Macaca mulatta: one gene and its partners. The protein of the gene in region 1 purifies or fractionates together with the protein of each later gene. This does not show direct contact. Links are inferred from orthologs where the notes say so. Each region holds a gene or a part of one and is shown in the gene's direction. Other genes may lie near its edges.

Evidence for each region.
Region 2: the proteins of DNAJB1 (region 1) and BAG2 purify together in Homo sapiens (affinity purification with mass spectrometry; 4 studies listed by BioGRID and IntAct, with this or other methods). This does not show direct contact. The link is inferred for Macaca mulatta from reciprocal best matches to the Homo sapiens genes DNAJB1 and BAG2.
Region 3: the proteins of DNAJB1 (region 1) and BAG5 purify together in Homo sapiens (affinity purification with mass spectrometry; 3 studies listed by BioGRID and IntAct, with this or other methods). This does not show direct contact. The link is inferred for Macaca mulatta from reciprocal best matches to the Homo sapiens genes DNAJB1 and BAG5.
Region 4: the proteins of DNAJB1 (region 1) and PYCR3 purify together in Homo sapiens (affinity purification with mass spectrometry; 3 studies listed by BioGRID and IntAct, with this or other methods). This does not show direct contact. The link is inferred for Macaca mulatta from reciprocal best matches to the Homo sapiens genes DNAJB1 and PYCR3.

What each region holds. Positions count from the first base shown.
Region 1 is NC_133424.1:15,127,963-15,132,311, reverse strand, and holds the start of DNAJB1 (dnaJ homolog subfamily B member 1), read left to right. Parts: upstream 1-1,543; 5' UTR 1,544-1,629; coding exon 1,630-1,840; intron 1,841-1,986; exon of another isoform or gene 1,987-2,357; intron 2,358-2,929; coding exon 2,930-3,510; intron 3,511-3,808; coding exon 3,809-4,039; 3' UTR 4,040-4,349. UniProt on the Homo sapiens protein: Interacts with HSP70 and can stimulate its ATPase activity. Stimulates the association between HSC70 and HIP. Negatively regulates heat shock-induced HSF1 transcriptional activity during the attenuation and recovery phase period of the heat shock response.
Region 2 is NC_133409.1:125,116,943-125,120,966, reverse strand, and holds the start of BAG2 (BAG family molecular chaperone regulator 2), read left to right. Parts: upstream 1-1,186; 5' UTR 1,187-1,220; coding exon 1,221-1,333; intron 1,334-4,024. UniProt on the Homo sapiens protein: Co-chaperone for HSP70 and HSC70 chaperone proteins. Acts as a nucleotide-exchange factor (NEF) promoting the release of ADP from the HSP70 and HSC70 proteins thereby triggering client/substrate protein release.
Region 3 is NC_133412.1:176,980,527-176,984,552, reverse strand, and holds the start of BAG5 (BAG family molecular chaperone regulator 5), read left to right. Parts: upstream 1-1,209; 5' UTR 1,210-1,857; coding exon 1,858-1,955; intron 1,956-2,664; coding exon 2,665-4,026. Other genes in the region: COA8 (cytochrome c oxidase assembly factor 8), read right to left, coding at 719-841. UniProt on the Homo sapiens protein: Co-chaperone for HSP/HSP70 proteins. It functions as a nucleotide-exchange factor promoting the release of ADP from HSP70, thereby activating HSP70-mediated protein refolding.
Region 4 is NC_133413.1:153,979,082-153,983,332, reverse strand, and holds the start of PYCR3 (pyrroline-5-carboxylate reductase 3), read left to right. Parts: upstream 1-1,441; 5' UTR 1,442-1,483; coding exon 1,484-1,574; intron 1,575-2,875; coding exon 2,876-2,940; intron 2,941-3,835; coding exon 3,836-4,015; intron 4,016-4,241; coding exon 4,242-4,251.

The sequences.
Region 1 (4,349 bases):
TGGCCCCTGCTCAGGTGGCGATCTCAGACTGGGAGGGAGGACACATTGAAAGCCAAGAAACAAAATAAATTTCTTTTTTTTTTTTTTTTTGAGACGGAGTCTCGCTGTGTCGCCCAGGCTGGAGTGCAGTGGCCGGATCTCAGCTCACTGCAAGCTCCGCCTCCCGGGTTTGCGCCATTCTCCTGCCTCAGCCTCCCGAGTAGCTGGGACTACAGGCGCCCGCCACCTCGCCCGGCTAGTTTTTTTATATTTTTAGTAGAGACGGGGTTTCACCATGTTAGCCAGGATGGTCTCGATCTGCTGACCTTGTGATCCGCCCGTCTCGGCCTCCCAAAGTGCTAGGATTACAGGCTTGAGCCACCGCGCCCGGCCACAAAATAAATTTCTAATTTAGCAGCAAGTGCTCTTGAGAGGGCAGTAAAGTGAAGAAGGCGGGACTGGGAGGACCTCGGGAGGTGAGCTTTCGCCCAGATCCTCACCTCGCTTTAGGAAGGGAGAACAGAGGCAGTCTTCTGTCCCAACATCCTTCTCCCCACAGTTGGGAAAATAGCGCTGGTGGATTCCTTGTTTGTTCATTTTGTTTTATTTTACTTATTTATTTATTTATGTATTTTATTTTGAGACGGAGTCTCGCTCTGTCGCCCAGGCTGGAGTGCAGTGCCCCGATCTCGGCCCACTGCAACCTCCGCCTCCCCGATTCAAGCTATTCTCAGGCCTCAGCCTCCTGAGTAGCTGGGATTACAGGTGCGTGCCACCACGCCCGGGTAATTTTTGTATTTTTAGCAGAGACGGGATTTCACCATGTTGGCTAGGCTGGTCTCGAACTCCTGACCTCAAGTGATCCGCCCACTTCGGCCTCCCAAAATGCTGGGATTACAGGCGTGAGCCACCGCGCCCGGCCTGTTTGTTTATTTTAAAAAGAAACGGAGTCTGCTTATGTTGCCTAGGCTGGTCTCCAACTCCTAGGCCCTAGAGATTCTCCTGTCTTGGCCTCAGGAAGTGATGGAAATTACAGTCGTGAGGCTCCGTGTCAGGTTCTCTTATTGCCATATTGTAGAAAGAAAGAGACCCCTGGGTTAAGCAGACGCGGGTTAGGTTGTTCGTCCGGCGTCACCCGGCGGAGGCCCACCGCAGGTCCCGCGAGACAAGGGCTGGAAGGTTTATCACCTCCTGGGGAAAAGACAGGCTAGTCCCAGGCCCCACCCCTTCCCGGAACATCACCTTCGCGACGGCTCCTGACCCACTGACCCAGGCGGAGGGCGGGACGCAGGGTCGCTGGGGCGGTGCAGAGTGTGAAAGAAGCTCGCGATTGGCTCGTCCCGGAAGGTGGGCGGGGCCTCCTCCGACCTGTGCGCGCGCCGCCGGGAGGCGTTGTCGAGGGCGGAGCGGGAGGGGGCGTGGCCCCGCGCCGGCGGCCGTTGACGGCAAAGCCCCGCCCCGGATGTCGCGTGTCACGGAAAGGGTGGCGGCGATTGGCCGGCGCCGCGGGCGGGGGGGCGGGGCGGAAGGTTCTGGAGGGGGCTGGCGGGCTCTGGAAGCTTCCGCCGGACGGGTATATAGAGTCCGGGACCGGGCGGCGGCGGAGCCGGGGGACGGCGACAGCGGGTCGGCGGGCCGCAGCGGGGGGCCATGGGCAAAGACTACTACCAGACGCTGGGCCTGGCCCGCGGCGCGTCGGATGAGGAGATCAAGCGGGCCTACCGCCGCCAGGCGCTGCGCTACCACCCGGACAAGAACAAGGAGCCCGGCGCCGAGGAGAAGTTCAAGGAGATCGCCGAGGCCTACGACGTGCTCAGCGACCCGCGCAAGCGCGAGATCTTCGACCGCTACGGAGAGGAAGGTGTGTGCGCGCGGCCAGGGGCGCGGTCCCGCCGTTTGACAGGGAAACCGAGGCATACCGGCCCCTCTCGGCGGCCCCCCGGGAAGGACGCCCCGGGCCCGGGGGCCGAGCTGCCCCGCCCTCCGGCCGCTCGGGCCTCCGCCCTTGGATTGGCGGCCGTGCGGTGGGGGGAGGAGCCTTGGCCCAGCCGCTCGCCCAGAAGCTTCTAGCATGTCTAAGGCTGCCCCTCCCCGGGCGCCTCTTCCCGCGGCCCCGAGCAGCCCCGGGGTGCGGTGCAGGGGGGTGGGGGAGCCGGGGGTGACGACGGGGACGGCACGGCGGAGCCTGCTGCGGACCCGAGCTCACCTGGGCTTAGCCGCCGGGGTCCGCAGGGCGGCGCCTGCGGCTCAGCTGCGGGGCGCGGGGCTGTAAATGCAGGCGCCGACCCCGCTCGCGGGCCTTGGGGCTGGGCTGGGATGATTTCCGGGAAGTGATGACCTGGTCCCGGCCGGGCACGCAGGAGGCAGCGGCCGCCTAGGTGCGGAGAGCTGGGCCGCCTGGGGGTTTGGGGGGACGGAGAGTGGGGCTTTTTGTCCCTGTGCCCCTTGATGACTCAGGCTGGCTTCTGGGCTTGATCTGGGACTGACTTATTATGCAAGGATGGTAGCAGTGAATGCTAGTGTGAGGGTTTAAAAACTCTACATCTTTTTTTTTCCTTATTTTCACTCTTCGTACACATCAGTAGTCCTAAAATGTTGAAAGTAAATACCGAAAGCCGACCCTGGACCGTGTGTGTTTAGCCATCCCTTGGTGACATTGCCAGGAGGATGGGTCAGTCCAGGAGTGGCAGGGCCCAGGTGGCACCTGTAGGTGGACACCTAACCGCATGAGTCCTTTTCCACTGTCAGGCTATGCGGAAGTACTTGGTGGGGGGGGGGGCAGCTCTGCTGCTGCAGTGAGGGGTAGAAGCTTGGGGTTCTTCCTTGCTCTCCCCTGGCAGGCTAAAAAAAGTTCCTCCCCCATGGCTTCCAAGCTTTTTTCCCCCGTAAGGGAAGCTCGAGAGGGAGTCTGCTGTTCAGCCATCTGACTGCTTCTAATTCTGCTTTTCAGGCCTAAAGGGCAGTGGCCCCAGTGGCGGTAGCGGCAGTGGTGCCAATGGTACCTCTTTCAGCTACACGTTCCATGGAGACCCTCATGCCATGTTTGCTGAGTTCTTCGGTGGCAGAAATCCCTTTGACACCTTTTTTGGGCAGCGGAACGGGGAGGAAGGCATGGACATTGATGACCCGTTCTCTGGCTTCCCTATGGGCATGGGTGGCTTCACCAACGTGAACTTTGGCCGCTCCCGCCCTTCCCAAGAGCCCACCCGAAAGAAGCAAGATCCCCCAGTCACCCACGACCTTCGAGTCTCCCTTGAAGAGATCTACAGCGGTTGTACCAAGAAGATGAAAATCTCCCACAAGCGGCTAAACCCCGACGGAAAGAGCATTCGAAACGAAGACAAAATCTTGACCATCGAAGTGAAGAAGGGGTGGAAAGAAGGGACCAAAATCACCTTCCCCAAGGAAGGAGACCAGACCTCCAACAACATTCCAGCTGATATCGTCTTTGTTTTAAAGGACAAGCCACACAATATCTTTAAGAGAGATGGCTCTGATGTGATTTATCCTGCCAGGATCAGCCTCCGGGAGGTAAGGTGCCAGGTGGGGCGGTGTCTGCAGAGCGCGATGGCTGCTCTTTGAAGCAGTTTATTTAGGTTTTGCTGAACACGCATTGGGTGTGTGGCGCTTGCCAGGCTTGGGGCACCACAGTGAACAGGAGTGATCAGGGTGCTGTTCTGGAGCTTTCATGGTGGAGACATGTCGATTTGGGGGCCAGGTGTTGGCTGCAGAGGCCTGATGAGTCTTACTCTATGCCAGATGGTCTCCGGGCAAGAGCTGAGCCTCTTGAGCCAGCTTCCATCTAATGCTTATCCCTTTGCTTTTCAAGGCTCTGTGTGGCTGCACAGTGAACGTCCCCACTCTGGACGGCAGGACCATACCCGTCGTATTCAAAGATGTCATCAGGCCTGGCATGCGCCGAAAAGTTCCTGGAGAAGGCCTCCCCCTCCCCAAAACGCCCGAGAAACGTGGGGACCTCATTATTGAATTTGAAGTGATCTTCCCCGAAAGGATTCCCCAGACATCAAGAACCGTACTTGAGCAGGTCCTTCCAATATAGCTGCCAGAGCTCCGACTGACCAGGGACCTTTCCAGAGCTCAAGGATTTCTGGACCTTTCTACCAATTGTGGACCATGGGAGGGCCCAGGGAGGACTTTCATACTGCTGAATGTTTTCCAGAGCATATATTACAATCTTTCAAAGTCGTACACTAGACTAAAGTGGTTTTTCGAGCGATAGGGCATCAGGTGGTGGGAACAGCAGGAAAAGGCATTCCAGTCTGCCCCACTGGGTCCGGCAGCCCTCCCGGGATGGGCCCACATCCTCCTCCTCCAGTCCCTGTCCAGGGGTAGAGGCAGACCAGCAGCTG
Region 2 (4,024 bases), on another chromosome or scaffold:
CAAAAAACTAGCCGGGCGTGGTGGCGGGTGCCTGTAGTCCCAGCTACTTGTGAGGCTGAGGCAGGAGAATGGCGTGAACCCGGGAGGCGGAGCTTGCAGTGAGCTGAGATCCGGCCACTGCACTCCAGCCTGGGCCACAGAGCGAGACTCGGTCTCAAAAAAAAAAAAAAAAAAAAAAAAAAAAAAAAAAAAAAAAAAAATTAAAAGTTGAGGACTTCTTAATGCCAATTATTTCACTCAGAATATTTATTTATTTATTTATTTATTTATTTATTTATTTAGACAAGGTCTCGTTCTGTTGCCCAGGCTGGAGTGCAGTGGCGAGATCTCGGCTCACTCAACAGGAATAATTTTAATAGCAAAAATTAAAAACTCCTTCATTAAGTCGGGCGTGGTGGTTCACACCTGTAATCCTTAGAATGATAAAAATGAAGTAAATTCACTTTGTTTCCTACATCTACCTAGATAGGGAAAGATGGAGTAGCTTTTTCTTTTTTACTTAATAGCTTCAGCGTTGTCCGAGCATTCGTTACTCTCATCTTAGTATAAAGTGGTAACAGGAAGGTCAGGTGAGTGTGGGCTGCCTAGGAGCTGCACTTAACTGCCTTCTGTTTCACAAAAGGACCTTTTCTCCCTATATCACAGGACCCTTAATGTCGTTGTTCTTGCTTTGAATTATGGGTGCTGGAAGAAACTAAACGAAGCCATCACTGAGCAATACACCCACAACCCATCGACCGATAGGAACCTTCGTGTGGGGGAAGTTGGTTACTTTTAGGCTGCACGAAGAGGCGGGGCCACGCGGGGCGGAGCTGGGGGTGGTCTGTGGGTCCGGGCGGGCTTCGGGTAGTTCCTGGGTCCGAGGAGCAGACGATCCGCTGGCCACATTAGGCGCTCAGTCTCTGCGTCTGCCCCTCCCCGTGCCTCAGAGACTTGCGCTCCCCAGGCCCGAGCCCCTGTGGCCCGCGAACCTCTTAATTCCAGCCGCTGCAGCCCCCTCCCAGGCCCGGCGTCCCCGAGCCCCGCGGGCGCCGCGCCTGCCCTTCTTTGGCCACGCGGCAGCCGCGGTGTCGGCGAGTCCTCCCGGGTTGCCCCCGCGGGCGTCAGAGGGAGGGCGGGCGCCCGCGTGGTGACGGCGACGCCTGCAGCCCGAGGAGCGCTCCACTCGCCGCCGCCGGAGGGGCCGGTGACCTCTCGGCTGCCCCGCGTCGGAGGCTTAGATGGCTCAGGCGAAGATCAACGCTAAAGCCAACGAGGGGCGCTTCTGCCGCTCCTCCTCCATGGCCGACCGCTCCAGCCGCCTGCTGGAGAGCCTGGACCAGCTGGAGCTCAGGTGAGCCGCGGGCGGGCGGGCGGTCTCGGGCGTTCTGCTCGCCGCGCGGGCGGTTAGCGGACGGAGGCCGCGTGTGGCGGGCCGGGCCCTGGGGCACAGTGAGGCTGCGGCAACAGAAGTTGCTTGTTGAGATTTGTTGTGGATGGACGTGGTGTAGTTTTGTTTATTTCTTGGATTTTCTCCCCTTGTCCAAGAGAAAACGCATTGTAAGCTAAACCTGTGAGGGCGTGATGGTGGCCACACTTTGATTAACTTACCTAGGTGTTGGGGAGCAGGAAAAAGAGGAGATAAAAGTTAAGAGGTGAGATTCCATGCGATTAACGACTGTGGCAGCGTGGGTCTGCAGAGCTTCTAGAACCTTCTGTGTGGCCCCAAATGTTTTTAACTTACTCTTCTCCCGTCATACATTTTTAAGGGAGGCAGCAGTTTACAGTGGCCCTCCACGTGAAGTTAAGTTTCCTTGCTTCAGAACACTAAAAGAGCAAAAATGAATAAAACAAAACCAACCCAGCAATCCATTGAGACCAAAGATTAGAGAGGAGTGAGGGGTAGGCAGTAAGTTACCGGGTGCTTCGTGCAGTAAAGACGTTGCGGCTTCTCTTTATCCCCTGACCTGGCGGACGGGATTCCGCGGTTCCGTTTGTCTCTCAGTATTTATTGGGCACCTCCCTACATAGAAGACGAAGTGTTAGTCACTGGCCTGAAAGTATGAAAAGATAGTTTTCCCTTTTTCTTGCTTAAGATTTTATTAGGTAATATAGTAGTAGACTTGTACAGAATTTCTAAACAATATAATGTTAATAGATTTTTGGAAAGACTTTAACGGTATATTGAAAAGTTTTATCTACTTCCTGTGAACGTTTGTCACAAGTTACTGTGTAAATTTTGTGAGCAACTGTAGTTAAAAGAAAACCTTGTTAGGCACCTGGAATTCCCTGAAACTGTACACAGGAGTTGGTTCCATAGTTTTCTCTAGGTTGTGCATGAGCAAAGAAGCATGTGAGCCAAAAAGTTCAGGAAACACTGCATGTGTGTTTTATCTCCCTCCATTAATACACCCAAATATGAAGTGTCCGTTTGCCGAGAAAATACTTCAAAACCACGGCATCTCTTTTAACAAGTAAGGCATTATTATTGTTACTATTGGGAGAAAAGAGCCAGAGAGTGAGAGATTCTCCGCTCAAAATAATTTCTTGGATGGCAGCAGAGAAACCTAAGCCCTACACGAGGTTCTGGGGTTCCACTCAGAATGAGGCAAGTGGAAGAGAGAAATAATGCTTCCTCATGGATTTTCACAATACTAGCAAACCTGACCCGTTCCACTCCCAGAAAAAGTAAAGCGCAAGTAGAAATTGGTGGCCTCAGTTACTGGAAGTCCCTCTAACTGATGTTTCTTTTTAGGGAGCCGCATAACAAGTAACACACCTCTCTCCATGTCTTCAGAACGTTGAGGGCATGTTCTCAACCACTTCACTCGCTCTCCCCTAGTTAGAAAGAAAAGATTTTTTCCTAAAGGAATGGGGAGGATGTTACTCCACCCCGCCTTCCTTCAAGCTGAGTCATTGTCCTCAAACTTGAATTAATGCCTCACATGTGGTAGGTACAAAAGCCCTCTGAAGTGCTCCTCTTAAAAAGAAAGCCTCAGGTTTTGAATATTATTATATTCTAATGTTTGATTAATGTAAAATGAATTCTGATTACTGCACATCAGTGATTAAATTACAACTTGCTTAATTAACATTTGAGCTGAGGAGAAAAGTGATTAATATGTGGCTGTTCATTTCAAGGACTTTTTTTTAGTAATTCTAGACTTTTGTAGGCCTTTTTTTTCTTTTTAAAAAAGTAATACTAGCTGAAAAGGATTTCCTAAGGTAAGCAAAAATAGAGAAAAATGCTAACATTGATCCTATTAAAGTGTTTTTTTGAAACCACATGGGCAATGGCATAGAACACTACACTATTAAAAACTAGAATCATGCGTACAAGATCGATTTTTAAATGAAAACATGAAACTCATATGTAATTTTGCTCTAATAGTTTGATTTTATGTTAACTAATAAAGTAGTGTAACTGGGTAGAATAAAACCTTACCGTTTGTACTTAGAAGTGTGCACGTAATGTTCCCTAACCACATCATCCTGTCAATTGTGGAAGAAATTTCATACTTCATGACCTGGAGTATGAACTGATCTACATGATTAAAATGTTTGGCAGCAGTTCTACAAACTGTTAAAGGATTTCCATTTATCTCTGATGGAATTTATCAGTACACTAGGCTCTTTTTTTAGACTGCATTTTGTCTTCTGTATTTCTTCCTTCTACAGAGGTGATTCCCTTTTCTCCCTGTTTTTATGATCAATTCTAAATGGAGTCTGAGTTTTGCATTCCTCAGTGGCTCAAACCATCTTGCTTATTGTTACTTTTTAACAATTATTGTAATTTATAAAAAATACTATATTACAACTTTATATATATATATATATATATATATATATATATATATATATAATGTTTTCATCCACAGTTCCTGGCTCATAACTCCCATAACCCTTATGACAGTCTTACGTTATAATGTTGGGGTGCTTTAGGCCTCAGGAAAAAGAATCTCTGTCTGACCTTCTTTCGCCTGCCTTGTTTCTAGTCTGATTGTGGGTCAAAAGACCCTCATTCCAGAGAGGGTCCTGTCCCATG
Region 3 (4,026 bases), on another chromosome or scaffold:
TTTTCCAGCCTCCTTCATTAGCCTGTTTGGTATTTGCATGCTTTGCTTGAATATTTTATCTCCAGCCCATTCCACACCGTTAGCCAACATTTTCATCTGACAGATGGAATCAAGGCCTAGGCCTCCTTTAAACAAAACATCCCTCCCAAAAGTATGACTTATAAAAATTGCTTGCCACTCTTTCTTGCTACAGACATTCTTTGCGGATCTTTGGCCAGTAACATGCATATACCCACACATAGTTTGCAAATAAGAACAACTATTGAACGTGAAGTGCTACAAAAGTACGATGATAAAGTATAAAGTGTTCACCGCTTGAATAAAAGCTCTAATAATTTTAACAAAGCCAAAACACAAACACACACACACACACACACACCACGAAAAAAAAATGCACGCTAAGCCAAGAGCTCTTTAAATATAAAAAATCATCATTCTCGGGAACAAATAAGATAGCTACAAACTTGCCAGGTGACTCTTATGCTTAAAGGTTCTGGCTGTCAACAGTCTCCGGCGTGGCGGCGGCACCCTCAGTCCCATCCGACCGAGAGCCCTGACGCGGAAGCCTTGGGGCTGCGGGACTGTTCGGGATCGGACGCGAGCGCACCTGCAGAAAGGCCTGAGGCGGCTGTGCATGGCAGGCAGCTGCCCCGAGGCCCCGGTTTGTCTTTCCTTCCGGTCACCCCTCCCGGCCCAATATCCCCAGGCGCTTGCTTACGCCGCTGGGCGCCGTATCCCTGCGCTCGGCGCCGCGCTCCGGAGCGAGTTGACAGCCGCGGCAGACGAAGGAGCGGCTGAGAGCGCGGAGAAAACTCTTCTTCCCCGCCCGCAAGGCCACCATGGCCCCACGCCCCCACGCCCCCTGGCTCCCGCGGCGCACGGCAGCATTGCGACGGCGCGAGAGACCGCTTTACGGCAGGGTCGCGAAGCCCGAGGGAGGGCGGCGGTGCGGCCGACCGTGCGCTTTCCCCGCGGTACGACGGGCTACGGGAGCGGCGGGCGGCGCGCCGCTGACCCGGGCGGCCGCTCCTTGGTCGCTGTCACTCCAGGTTGCCTTGCTGCGCCGCTGGCGGTGGGCTTGGCGCTGTCGGCGGCTAGGCGCGGACGCCGGAGGAGGTGTCCCCGGGTTTAGGGGTGTTCGGCCAGGGGCGTGGGCTGGCTGGCCCGGGCGACGGCCGGAGCTGCGGAAGTCGTGGAAGCGTCGGCGACGCATCGCGCGATGGCGCGGGCAGGACAGGTGAGCGAAGCGCGGCGTGTGGCCTTTTCCCTCCGTCGGGGGGACGAGTGGGGCCCCCCGTCGGCGCGGGGCTCCCCGCTGGACCACCTCTCTGCCAGCGCCCACCCCAGCGCGGCCTGTCGGCTCAGGCCGAGCAGAGTTGGTCTCGGCGCCGTCCCCGTCCCTGGCTCGGACGCTGTCCAGGGGTGGTCGGGCCTGGTCTCTGGTGTCTCCGGCGGGGCCTTGGCTCCTCTCCTTCCCCGGCTTCCCCCGGCCGGGCCGAGGGCCCCTCGCGCGCCCATTGTGAGGTCAGGGCCTGCGGGCGCGCCCTGGCACCTAGGCCGAGACGCCCGGAGCGGCTGCTGCAGCCAGTAGCAGCCCCTTCACCGCCGGCCCCTTCACCGGCTGCCCCGCTCAGACCTAGTCGGGAGGGGCGCGAGGGATGCAGCTGGGGGCCCAGCTCCGGTGCCGCACCCCGTAAAGGGCTGATCTTCCACCTCGCCACCTCAGCCACGGGACGCCAAGATCGCAGCCAGCTCAGACCTCTTCTGGGTAAAGAGCCAAGAGGGAAGGGCGAGGCGGGGAGGAAGGAACTCGGGCCGCCTGCCCTCCGTGGCCTCCAGAACATCCACAGGGGATGGATGATGCGTTTCCATTGGTTACCCACCTTGAGCGAGCCGTTTGATAGAAACCAAGAGCTTGAAACGTGCATTAGGCGATTGTGGACTCTCAGTGGGAGGCGAGTGAATGAATTATTCAGTTACCACATTTTCGCAGGTTGTAGTTTTTTGAGACAGTGGAGCATGTTGGGGGCTGAGGAGGTGCTGGGCCTCGAAAGCCCAAGGTGGTGCCCTTCAGCGCAATCCCCGTCGCTCTTCTTTACCTGTGGGGTTTTTATCTCTTCGGGGAGACATCTGGGAGGGAAGATGTGTGAGGAGCTAAAAGGGTGGGGAGGGGAAGTGCACAAAGGGAAGAAGCGGGAACTTGGGGATATCTGAGAGCCACTGGTTTTTGTTCTACTGGTTCAGTTTATTTTGCTTAGAGTTTCTGGAAACTAGGCATAGCTGTGTGGCGGGGCGGGGTACTGTTAGTGTTCGGAAGGTTACAAGAGCTACTGTTTCACCTTGCATAAAGGTGCCCTGCCGGTTCCAAATAGTTTGTGCGGCGTACGGTGACTCACACCTTAATCCCAGCACTTTGAGAGGCGGGGGCGGGCGGATCGTCTGAGACTAGCCTGGGCAATATAGTGAGACTTGTCTCTACTAAAAATAATAACATTAGCTGGGCGTGGTGGTGTACGCCTGTAGTCCCAGCTACTGGGGAGGCTGAGGTGGGATGACTGCTCGAAAGTATGCCTTTTTAAAATGAGAATTTTAGAATGACTTAGTATACCATTAGTGTTCTGCAGAAGCCTTGTGCTGTAATAAGTTATTCTTGTCATCTTTTAGTGCTTGTGAAACTGAACACAACAAAAGTATGGATATGGGAAACCAACATCCTTCTATTAGTAGGCTTCAGGAAATCCAAAAGGAAGTAAAAAGTGTAGAACAGCAAGTTGTCGGCTTCAGTGGTCTGTCAGATGACAAGAATTACAAGAAACTGGAGAGGATTCTAACAAAACAACTTTTTGAAATAGACTCTGTAGATACTGAAGGAAAAGGAGATATTCAGCAAGCTAGGAAGAGGGCAGCACAGGAGACAGAACGTCTTCTCAAAGAGTTGGAGCAGAATGCAAACCACCCACACCGGATTGAAATACAGAACATTTTTGAGGAAGCCCAGTCCCTCGTTAGAGAGAAAATTGTGCCATTTTATAATGGAGGCAACTGCGTAACTGACGAGTTTGAAGAAGGCATCCAGGATATCATTCTGAGGCTGACACATGTTAAAACTGGAGGAAAAATCTCCTTGCGGAAAGCAAGGTATCACACTTTAACCAAAATCTGTGCGGTGCAAGAGATTATCGAAGACTGCATGAAAAAGCAGCCTTCCCTGCCGCTTTCCGAGGATGCACATCCTTCCGTGGCCAAAATCAACTTTGTGATGTGTGAGGTGAACAAGGCCCGAGGGGTCCTGATTGCACTTCTGATGGGCGTGAACAACAGTGAGACCTGCAGGCACTTATCCTGTGTGCTCTCAGGGCTGATCGCTGACCTAGATGCTCTAGATGTGTGCGGCCGGACAGAAATCAGAAATTATCGGAGGGAGGTAGTAGAAGATATCAACAAATTATTGAAGTATCTGGATTTGGAAGAGGAAGCAGACACGACTAAAGCATTTGACCTGAGACAGAATCATTCTATTTTAAAAATAGAAAAGGTCCTCACGAGAATGAGAGAAATAAAAAATGAACTTCTCCAAGCACAAAACCCTCCTGAATTGTACCTGAGCTCCAAAACAGAATTGCAGGGTTTAATTGGACAGTTGGATGAGGTAAGTCTTGAAAAAAACCCCTGCATCCGGGAAGCCAGGAGAAGAGCAGTGATCGAGGTGCAAACTCTGATCACGTATATTGACTTGAAGGAGGCCCTTGAGAAAAGAAAGCTGTTTGCTTGTGAGGAGCACCCATCCCATAAAGCCGTCTGGAACGTCCTTGGAAACTTGTCCGAGATCCAAGGAGAAGTTCTTTCATTTGATGGAAATCGAACCGATAAGAACTACATCCGGCTGGAAGAGCTGCTCACCAAGCAGCTGCTAGCCCTGGATGCTGTTGATCCGCAGGGAGAAGAGAAGTGTAAGGCTGCCAGGAAACAGGCTGTGAAGCTTGCCCAGAATATTCTCAGCTATCTCGACCTGAAATCCGATGAATG
Region 4 (4,251 bases), on another chromosome or scaffold:
TCCAAACACCTTCCCTGACAGCACCATCTCAGCCCCTGTCTGAGCATCCACCCTGCCCTGCTGGGATTATTTGTCTGCAAACTTCTGGGAGTCCTGCCTCAACCCCCACCCCTCATGCCAACATCCCAGGACCTGGAGCTCCAGGAGGTGGGTTGGCCTCGTTCACAGTGTATCCCCTGGCACCAGCCCTTTGTGGATAAAGGCTCTGCCCATGTGGGGGTTCAGGAAAGGCCTCCTGGAGAGGGTGGTGCCTGTGTGGCCACTTGGATCCGCCAGGTGAGGAACAGTGGGAAGAAGCCCAGCCAAAAGCAGAGGTGCCCTGGACACAAGCCATGGGTGGCTGGGTGTCCAGGTCAGCTAAGGGCTCCTAACGGATGCTCAGAAGCCTGGCCCAGCATGGGATGGAGAAGCTGAACAGGACTGGGCCTTCTTTTACTCACTGTGGCCCTGGGCACTCGGCCAGCAACCCTCCTTCACCTCGACTCGGTGTACTTGTTTATGATGAGCTTGTCCTTATGTATGATGGCATGGCACTGGATGCCTCCGGCCCCTTTCACCTCCCCATAGCCTGGGTCCCAAGCCATCACTGGCCCAGGGGGCCTGGGAGAAAATCCAGGGGGTCTGTGTGGGAAGGGGCTGGCAGGATCCAAGGTGGCAGGAGAGACAGCTGCCGACAGTGTGCTGGTGCAAAGTGTGCACCACCCACATTTCTTGGCCGCGGTGGCTGAAGCAGCCTTGTGGTGGCTTTCTATCCCTCTCTACGTCATTTGCTTTAGAGCCTTGACACTCTGGCCGTCCTGCGTGTGTGCTGACTGTAGTCCGTCTATACAGCCAACAAGCAGGGCTGCAGGGTGGGGTCCAGTCTGTCCCATCTGCTGCTGTGGGGTGGCCTTGCCCAGGCCCAGAGCAGGGCCCAGAGGCTGCAGCTGCACAGTAAATGTTGAATCAATGAGAGGATTTCATGACTGAAGAGCTTAGAAAACGTCAAAGGCTTCAGAAGAAAATAACATCGGTAACATGCAGCCTTAGATTAGATGATGAAAACAAAACCGCACTCAGATCTTCAAGCCTTATTTTCCTTGTGTCATTAAAAATGACGCCCCCCCTTTGCGACTGTCCCCTCCCCTTCCCGTCGATCTCAGGCCCCTGGGCCCGGCCAGCTCTCCGTGACCTGGGCCTCCACCCCTCGTGCTTCCCCGCGGCTCCACCGCCTGTCGTCGGCGGGGCCTCAGTGACCGCACGCTGCGGACCAGCCCCGCCACCCGCTTCGCTAGCCCTCCCGTCCCGAAAACCAAGATCCGGACCTCGCACGCCCGACCGGGACCCCTCCGCGCTCCTCCGGCCCCGCCCCAGTTTCTCTCAGCCAATGGACAGTGAGGGGCGGCCTGGCCGCTTCGGGCCAATAAGCAGCGAGAGGCGGGGTCCCCGCGCCCTGCGAACCAGTAGAGTGCGGACAAAAAGCCGGCCGGAGCGGGGCGACAAGATGGCGGCTGCGGGGTCGGCTACGCGGCGCGTGGGCTTCGTGGGCGCGGGCCGCATGGCGGGGGCCATCGCGCAGGGCCTCATCAGAGCAGGTGGGGCGGCGCGGGGCTGGGCCTGCGGCCTGGCGTGGGAGTAGCCCCGTGGGAGGTGCCCTGTCGCGAGAGTGGGGCCGGAGGCGCGAGCCCAGCCACTCGGGTCTCAGCTTCGCTGGGTGCAGCCGGAGTCACGCCTTTTTCCTCTTACTTTTTTGACGTGGCTGCGGGAAGATTTGAGTTACACGTGGCTAGGTGCTGCTTCCGTGGCCGGCTTCCTGGCCGCGTGGCCTTGGCCAGGCTCACCTCTTCCAGCCTCTGATGTTCTCTTTGCGCGCCAGCCCCTCTCCGAGCAGCAGGGCTTCTCTTCCAGACACCTTAGCTCTAGGGACACCTGGGCCAGATCATCCATCCTGTGCCAGTAGCACTCCCCACGTTGTGACAGCCAAAAAATGCCTCCAGACACTGCCGAATGTCCCCTGGGTGGCGGGAGGAGACAGGTAAAGTCATCCCCTGTTGAGAATCACTGCTTTATGGCCGGGATATTTATGCTGACCATATACTTCTCCAGGCATTTAGAAGCCTCTCTGCAGATTGTGGGTAGGGAGAGCTGGGTGACTCTTGGCGCTCTGCCTTCAGCCGTACTTCAGGGTCCAGAAGAATCAAGATCCATCAGGAAATAGCTTACTGTGAGTTTTACCTGTGAAACCCGGCAGTACCACATGCCTCCCAGAGCTGTACTGGTTAAATGAGACAATATGTCTAATGTTGAGCCTAGTACTGGTGTGTATGGGTGGCACTGTCATGATTAATTGCTGTGTTTAGGTTGTAGTGTACACTTCTGTCTTCCTGTTCGACCTTACCAAAATCTAACCCAATCTCTCCACCCCTGTACCCCACAAAAGCAGATGATTTCTACCAAGTAGGCATTTAGCCTCTTGGACATCCCAGCCAGACTCTCCCTCCCGAGGAACCTGGGCCCCCATTGGGCCTTCTGTGGCCAATCAGCTGCCTTTGTACCCACCACACTCCCCCAAGGCCTGGTGTTCCTCTTCTGCTCCAGGCAGCCTTCCCTTCCCTGGAGACAGACGCCCCAGGGATGTGTCCTCACCACCGAGGCCAGCTCCTGGCCTCCACACCCAGCAGCAGTCAGGGGCGTTGACTGCCAAGTAGAATCAATGGATATGATTGCCTGGGCCCAGTGAATGGTGCATCCTGCTTTGGGTTCCTGAGGCCAGGAGGGGGCCCATGATGGGCCCGGCGTGGCTGAGCCTGAGAGGCCAGGTGAGCTCCTCCCTCTCCTCACTGCCATCCTATCCCACCCCCCTCACCAACCCCTCTTCCTTTTCTTTTCTTTCCAGGGAAAGTGGAAGCTCAGCACATAGTGGCCAGTGCACCAACAGACAGGAACTTATGTCACTTTCAAGTGAGCATAGAGCCTAGGTTCTTCATACCCTCCAGAGCCCAGGATAGCGCTTGACTCCTATCCCACTAAGACACCTATTGGAGCCAGAGATGGGTGGTTTATTTAGCTGAAGTTTGGAGACTGGCTGTTCTGGGCTGGGGAAAGGGAGATGAGAGGCCAGGAGGAAAGTAAGGTTGTGGAGGGCCAAAGCAAAGTGTTTGTGTGTGTGTGTGTGTGTGTGTATGTGTGTGAGTGCATGCATGTGCACGTGTGTATATGCGAGTGCATGCTCACATGTGCGTTTGCACGTGTGGTGTGTGTATGTCACTGCGTGTGTGTACGTGTGTGTGAGTGCATGCTCATGAGTACATGCATGTGCACCTGTGTGGTCGTGAGTGCATTCGTGTGCACGTATGTGCTCGTGTGTGTGCGTGCACATGTGTAAGAGTGCGTGCATGTACACGAGTGCATGCTCATGAGTGGGTGTGTGTACACATGTGTGCTTGTGAGTACATGCGTGTGTGTGTATGTGTGTGCTTATGAGTGCATGCATGTGCACGTGTGTGTGTGTGTGCTCGTGAGTACATGTGTCTGCACGTGTGTATATGTGAATGCATGCTCGTGAGTGCATGCATGTGCATGTGTGTGTTTGCATGCTGGGGTGGTGGTCACAGACATTCACTGCGGATGGAGGGCTCAGGGCTTGGGGAGGCGCTGACATCAGGATGGCCTGTGAGGAGCAGGGTTAGTCTGGGTGAGTCTTGGGCATTGGAGAAGTTGGGGTGGTCTAGACACTTGCAATGGGAGAGACCCTGGGACCCATGGGAATGTGTGGCCTCCAGCAGGAAGGGCTGTGGTGGAGAGGGTGTGCCGCTCACACAGCCCCTGAGGCCTGGTCCTGGTATCCCTGGCACAGGCTCTGGGTTGCCAGACCACCCATTCCAACCAGGAGGTGCTGCAGAGCTGCCTGCTCGTCATCTTTGCCACCAAGCCCCACATCCTGCCAGCTGTCGTGGCAGAGGTGGCTCCTGTGGTCACTGCTGAACACATCTTGGTGTCCGTGGCTGCTGGGGTGTCTCTGAGCACCCTGGAGGAGGTGAGTGTCCCTTGGGCTAAGGCCTTGATCCCAGCATAGGCTCTGCTGGCCGGGCTTGCGTGGCAGGCAGCCCCCCAGAGAGCCTGAGGTGGCCGGGTGGCCCACCTGGGTCAAGTGTTTGGGCTTAGGGTTCCCTCCTGGTGCTGTACCTGGGAGGCAGATGCTGGAGGCCTCCCAGCAGGGCCCAGTCCTACAGACTCCCTGATTCTGACCTCTCTCTGGCCAGCTGCTGCCCC